Linked DNA regions of Coturnix japonica. The protein of the gene in region 2 binds, or shares a complex with, the protein of the main gene of each other region. Links are inferred from orthologs where the notes say so. Each region holds a gene or a part of one and is shown on either strand. Other genes may lie near its edges.

What was found.
Region 1: the proteins of BBS7 (region 2) and ARL6 are in contact, whole or in part, in a cryo-EM structure (PDB 6VBV), measured with the Bos taurus proteins. The link is inferred for Coturnix japonica from reciprocal best matches to the Homo sapiens genes BBS7 and ARL6. Residues at the interface, in NP_001178275.2 of Bos taurus: Leu3, Ile249, Val250, Gly251, Asp300, Gly301, Tyr302, Asp303, Thr319, Glu320, Pro321, His323, Lys324, Glu325, Ser326, Gly327, Pro328; in NP_001069250.1 of Bos taurus: Met132, Asp133, Arg135, Thr139, Ser140, Val141, Ser144, Trp157, His158, Ile159, Cys160, Ala161, Asp163, Lys166.

Annotation. Positions count from the first base shown.
Region 1 is NC_029516.1:81,828,448-81,832,099, reverse strand, and holds part of ARL6 (ADP-ribosylation factor-like protein 6), read right to left. Parts: intron 814-3,652; coding exon 684-813; intron 679-683; exon of another isoform or gene 336-678; intron 1-335. UniProt on the Homo sapiens protein: Involved in membrane protein trafficking at the base of the ciliary organelle. Mediates recruitment onto plasma membrane of the BBSome complex which would constitute a coat complex required for sorting of specific membrane proteins to the primary cilia.
Region 2 is NC_029519.1:48,260,967-48,264,618, reverse strand, and holds part of BBS7 (Bardet-Biedl syndrome 7 protein), read right to left. Parts: intron 2,226-3,652; coding exon 2,109-2,225; intron 993-2,108; coding exon 862-992; intron 140-861; coding exon 55-139; intron 1-54.

The DNA of each region.
Region 1 (3,652 bases), on a different chromosome or scaffold from region 2:
TTCCGCAACTTAAGAAATGTAGCACAGTAGCAAATCTCTGCTGTTATTGTGGTTATCTATAAAATTATTTTTCAAGTAGCTTGAGAATCCATCAGTGTAAAGCTGGGACCATAATAAAACACCCAGGGAAATAAAATTTAATAGTAAAGGGCGTAAATGAACATTTTATTTCTAAGCTTCACTTCGCTGCTGATTTTACTTTTAATTCATAATACCTGAGAACTTCAGTAAAACAAAAATCTAATGCCTATAAAGCAATTAAGAAACACTTCTTTTTTTCCCTCTCCCCTCCTGTGTGAATACAATTTTTTTATTTTTTTTTTTTTTTTCTATAGGAAATCTTTATATCCTCCCAGAAAGGAGAGACAACAGTTCTACTTTCCAGCAAAAACAGTTGCAGCTACTCTTCTGATAAGGGCATTTTGAGCTTGGTTAAGTTTTCTGTTTCAATATTTGGCTAACAGATCTCTTGCGAAAATTTTCAAGTCATGGTCTACATGAAAGCACTGTGTGTTTAAAATAAATTTCACAGCGAGTATTGTAATGTTTCTACTCCTTCCACATATAGCAGCACAGCATTTTATCTGGCTTATTTAGTTTGTATTACATAATGAGTGGCATGAGAGTGCTAGAATATGAATGTACAAATTAACACCAAAAAAAGAGGAAGAAAGAAAATTTACCAGATATGCCAAGGCTTGTCTTTGATGTTTTCTAATGATAATAACTGAGATACTTTCACAGATGATATTGCATCCCTGAGGTCCATCTTGTTAGCAAAGAAAAGAATAGGCATTCGACGGTGCTTAATATCTAGGAGTGAGTAGAAGCAGAACTACTATGATAATATGCAACACTATCTCTGCAAGCATGAAACTGCAAATAATAAAAGATACTTTGCTCACCTGTAAATGCAACTCTTTGAAGATTGTATCCTACCAAGATGCTTGCTGTTGCATCACTTGGCCTCTGATGCATGCTTCAAGAATGCCCACAAACTTTCTGGGAAGCTTTGGGATCTTCCACCCACCTGTCCCCCTACCTTATATAAAGCTGTATCTATAATTTGCTGGTGAAGAAGAGCAGGATTTCAAACAGCTCCCTAAAAATACTACACATCTCTGCTTAGTGAAGACTGGATATGTAAAACGGATGTTTAAAAAATGATTCGCATTCATTCATATCATCCCAAAAGCAGAATCATACAATTAGTCTGTGTTATCTTATAACATCTTGGAGAGCATCCTTGGCTTTCTTCAAAAAAACCATGAAGCAGGAAAAAATATGCATGTCCAGACACCTCTTGTCCTACTTTCACTTGAACTAAGGCTTCACTTCCAGAAGCTTGCCTCAGTCAGCAATGGGAACCACAGAGCAAACCAATGACCTTGGTACAATGCCAATCTCTAGCATACTCGTGCATGCAAAAGCATAAGCCTCTCTGATTACCACAAAAGGTAAAAGAGCCATCACAAGGAAATGAAGTATACATATGTCAGGTTAAAGAGAACAAAATAGAAAATAAATAAATAAATAAATAAATTACTTCTATCATTGCTAAGAATTTTTCACATTATTAATAAATAAATCAACCAAGGATTATCAATCCAGCAGGGTTATCAAAAATGCAGAGTTAAGTCAATGAATTCTTGATAGGAAAAGATCTTTAAAAAAAAAAAACAAAAAAACAACACTATTTCTTAGAACAGTATAAGGAAAAGGATGCTTCACACAGGAAACAAGTGAAGGATTTATTTGGAGCTTTAAACGTAAGTGAGCTGACCTCGTGAGGGAAGATGGCAGACACCTACCCCCATTCCCTAGGTATCTGCTAAATAAACTGATAGCCACAGGTATTTACATTTTTCCTACCTTATTACATTATTTCCAACTATGCCATGTTCTCGCCTCCTTCCTCTCCTCCAACTTTTGCTATTAATGGAAAGCTAACATTTTCTTGTTGCAAACAGTTATGAGCTAACACATTAAGAAAACTCAAACACCACAGATGTGTGATGGGCAACTTTGAAATAACATGAAATTTCTATACATTCAATATTCTTTATAAAGAAGCATGTGTTGGAGGGCAAGTGACCCAAGAGTCAACATCTAAACAGGTAATCTAAAGACTGCGATTATGCAAAATGGTCAAATTTGATAAACAAAATAATGCAACAATGGTCATTAAACAAGATGTTATGTGTTTGTGGACAGTACCCTCTACAACTAAAAAAGAAATGGCTCTTATCCTTGAAACAGTCCCAGGTAGTACAACTTCTAACATCGTTAACACTTCACATTACACATTCCCTTTCACTTGACCACTTCAGACTAAACCAGGCAAAAAGAGATGGAACTTCCTACTACACTAAAGGACTGCCTAAAATTTTCAGGGATTGGAATCTACACAAGGTTGTTAACCAGTATGCATTTAAACCTTAAAAAAAAAAAAAAAAAAAAAAAAAAAAAAAAAAAAGTACATTTATTTGAACCAAGGTTTGCAGAGGCTGAAGCAAAGAAGAGCAATAAGTAAGGTATGCAGAGGAAGAATAGAACAAATGGCTTTAAACTGGAAGAGGGTAGATTTAGACTATATATTAGGAAGATCTTTACCGTGAGGGTGGTGAGACACTGGAACAGGTTGCCCAGAGAAGTTGCAAATGCCCCCTCCCTGGAAGCATCCAGGCTGGATGTGGCTTTGAGCAACCTGGTCTAGTGGGAGGCATCCCTACCCACGGTAGGGGGAGTGAAATGAGATCATCTTAAAGGCCCCTTCCAACACTTCCATTCTATGATTACTGTAGTAAAACAGCTGTAGGTTGATTCAGTTAAAAAACACTTTTACCGAACATTACATGCTTTGCTTCTCTGAAGGTCTATTAAAATCCAAAACAATAAAACAAGAACACTGCTACTGCACTTGACCTAAGCTGCTCCAAGGCAAAAAACACTGAACCATCTGTTCTAGGTTCCAGGGAATATTCTAGGTAGCCACAGCCATGACCTTTCAAAACTAGAAGACACGAAATTTATCAAAAACTGAACAGTTCTGACATGTGAGATCAGTGTTAGAAACCTGCTAATTCATAAACAAAACACCTAAGCTTGCATCTCCCCAGCCTTAATATTTTCACAACACACTATAGTAGTCTTGACCTCTCATCCTTAGTTTTGCATGGTTTCCATTTTATCTACAGAATCACCTTTTTACCAATGTGGTTAATACCTGCTTTGTTACAAAATTCCTTAATCCATAGGTAATCCACCTTCAGCCCTTGGTTCACCTCTACCCTCCCCCTGAACTCTGCAAGGCTGCCATTTCTGTGCATGCATTTGAAGTAACCCATACTGCTGAATGTGAAACAAATTGAGCTCAGACAGTTCACACACAGTTAGCTACCACATCTTTGCTGATCCATTCATGTATCAGATGCAGTCTGCGTGGAAAAAAACTGTAACAATACAATTGTTCCTACCACATATCACTATCCCTGGTTAGAAATACAGAAGCCAGCTTCTCCTTTCTTAGTGTCAGCAAAGTAAATCCACAAGTTAAGGCTCTACTAGCTAAATAGACATGAAAATACAGTACAATTTCACTTTACATTTCCCACATGTAGTTTTACATTCTAGCTGCTCGAAGCAACTACCT
Region 2 (3,652 bases):
GTTCTATCACATCTCCCTATCTAGACCTTACTGAGTACATAACACAAAGCTTACCTGAATACGTGCATGCTAAAACTTCATCATAACCATCTTTTCCTACACAGCCACCTTGGATTGATGAAATGCTCTCTGATAAAACCTTCAAATAAATACATTCAAGCAGAGGGAAATATTACTGCGCTTGTTTTAAATACCTGGTGGGTTTTTTTGTTTGTTTGTTTTTGGGGGGGAGTTTTACCTACATCACAAAATATCAACATGGATTCAAAATATCTAGATCCACAAGAGTGAGCTAGCTGATTACCACAGCTAAAGCAAGATGCTTTAAACAATGCATTCTGAATTAACTCTGCTTAATACAGACAGTAGAAAGTGGTTTAAAGGAAAACATTAAAGGAAAACACTTTTCCAGCAAGATTTACAGTCTGTCTGAAGGATGAAATTAACTCTATGGATCAAATCCACATCTTTACTGAGCAGAATTACTTGGCCTGTGAGTTGTTAAAGTCATAACAGCTACACTTAATATTTTACATGCAAAACAAACCGCACACAATGTGGAGGTAGGTTTTTTGTCTTGCTTTCTTTTTGCTGAGAAGCACAGTATTAGGTTTCACCCAGGAGAAGCCTAATAGCTCTCTGCACTATTTTTTGCTCTAATCAAGACCACTGCAATAACTGGTTCTTAAGTACATAGATACCACTTTGACGTTTGTGTTGTCAGCATTATAGAGCATAGAAAACTAAAAACAACAAATATATTTTAGCTCTAACCAATCTTGTGAATACTTGATATTTTGAAGTACAGAGTTTTTAAATTCATCTTTCCAGCAAGAAAGAAGACACTGGATGTGAGCTTACATAATCATACCGAAGGACAGGATCATCTGCACTCTCAAAGCTATAGACTTCCAGCACTCCATCATCTCGCCCAACAAGTAACTCTTTAACTCCATCTCTCAGAATGTCAAAACTATCAATGCATAAGATACCTAATGAAAAAGAAAAAAAACTGTCTGCTTCATCTTTGGTTGTTTACAACGCATTAATATGAAGGCCACATTAAATTACATAGAAAGAGATTCTTGCTGGGCTTTTTTTATTGATGCTATTTCTGGAAGAGTCCACTAGAGGGCTGAAGTCTCTTCTCTGTGACTAACGTCCACATTTTTTTCCCACGCTGTTTGTCTGATCAGCTCTACCAGCTGAAGAAGCGAGCACATTTTGTCTCCTATAGCCGACAGAAAGCCAAATGGACTGCTGTGAATTCCAGCTGATGGGGCAGACACAGGGTCCTGATTTGCACCAGACCCGTGTTAGGTTTGTGCTGCTACACAACATGCTAAGATGTATTGTAACAGCTAACCATGGCTAGAATGGACACAGAGTTACGGTGTGGAAGAAGGAAGCAAAAGAACCCATTCATATTTCATATTCGAAGTTTAGCCATACCAAGAAGATTTTTAACTGAAGAGTTAAGTAATAGATCTAATTACCTCGTGAAAGCTTAGAAAAAAAACCACATATATCACTATTCTTCTCCTTTACACAAAAATAAGTACTAACACGCTGCAGAAACAGCATACCAAGGCTATAACAGGGAAAAGTATTGTACTATGCCCAAACAAGTTACACCATATTATGGAGCCTTAAGGAGAGCATTATTCCATCTTTAGAAAAAAATCCTTGCCCTGCTTTTGTTGTTGTTGTTGTTATTTTTGTCTTGCAGTGAAGATGCCAGTCTTTAATCTGAGGGGACTTTCAGGTCACTGCATATCTGAAAAAATCTAGCACGTATATTTACATTTTAAAAGTCACCAACATGATAAAAATCCCAAGTGATCATGCACAACGAAACTGTTTTACAAATGGCACTTTAACATTGTACTGTAAGTATGAAAACATACTAAAGTACAGGAAACAAGATACTTGGCAAACAGACAAGAATTACTTGTAAGAATGGAAGATAATTAACACATTAATATCACATATTGACAATATTAAAATACATCTCCTAAATATCTATGAAACGTATTTCTTGATGATTATATTGTAACAAAGCCTCAGCTGTGCTTAAAAACTAAAGAGGGAGATGCTGAGACACAAACCTCCTCTCCTTTTTTCATTTTCAATTTCCCACTTAGGTACAGAAGCAGAACCAGTAATCTGGATAAGCCCCAGTTTACCATCAGAAGTTCCATACACAATTTCTTCTCCAGAATCACCTACAAAAAATTAAAAAATAAAAACAAATCAAAAGTTTAGAATCATAAAAACGCACCTATTGAAAAGGTTTGAAAATATTCATCCCATCAGGGGAAAAAGGAAATCCTACCATTAGTGTCACAGAATCACACACAGAATCACAGAATGACCCGGGTTGGAAGGGACCTCAAGGATCATGTAGTTCCAACCCCCCTGCCTGGCAGGGCCACCAAACATACACATTTACTAGATCAGGTTGTCCAGGGCCCCGTCCAACCTGGTCTTGAACACCTCCAAGGACGGGGCATCCACAGCCTCCCTGGGCAGCCTGTTCCAGGGCCTAACCACTCTCCTAGTGAAGAACTTCCCCCTAACATCCAACCTAAATCTTCCCTCTTTCAACTTAAAACCATTTCCCTGTGTCCTGCTATTGTCAGCCCTTTCAAAGAGTTTACTCCCCTCCTGGGAGTAAGTTCCCTTCAGGTATTGAAAGGCTGCAATGAGGTCACGTAATAGGACACACTTTAAAACAAATGCTTCCTCGCTCTGGAGTTCTGCTTACAAACTTTTCCTGAATTTAGGAAATATGGGCTATTTAATGTGCTTTACAGAAGAAACCATTTATATTATTTATTCAGAACACACATCTAATTGTGAGTGTTGTACTGCACCTAAAGCAAGTAAGAACTGTTTCTTGAATCTAGACCTGAACACTGACAAATAATCTAACAGAAACTAAATTAAGCACCAGATTAACACACTAAAGGGATTTGTATCAGGGTAGAAGAGATTAGCGAAAAGGAAGATCAAACTATTTTAAGATTGATCCTTTCACAGCCTTAGTTTATGTGAGCTCTACACAATTCTCATCAATCTATGGATGGAAGGAAGCAGTGATTCTACTTACAGAAATCCAGATGTAAGAGAAACCCAACCCAGTGCCTGAACGAGACACCCCCAACAGTCCAGCTCCCATTTACACAACAAGATCACCTTACAACTCACCACCACTGTAAGAGGCTTTCATGCAACGTAAATATTGTTTAGAACTAAAACAGTCAAGCACATATGTGTGCCCTGGTGGCGCAGTGGTAGAAGTGCCACGTTGCAACACCGGGGCCCGGGTTCGAATCCCCCCTGTGGCACAAGTGGTAGAAGTGCTGCTCTGCTACACAGAGGCTCAAATCCCAGGTGTTAGACTCAATGATCTCTAAGGTCCCTTTCAACCCGCACGAGACTATTATCTATTATACGTGTATGTATTGTATGTTTACAAATAACACCTCAATATGCAGACAAACAAAAATCCAAAGGAGTTTAAAAACGAAGCTAATAATCCCTACTCTGAAATCTCCACAGCAATCTTACCAGCATCCCAACCTAAACTCCCATGGTTCCTTCTCCCCAGCTTTCACCTGAAATCCTACCAGCCTTTCACTCTTACTTC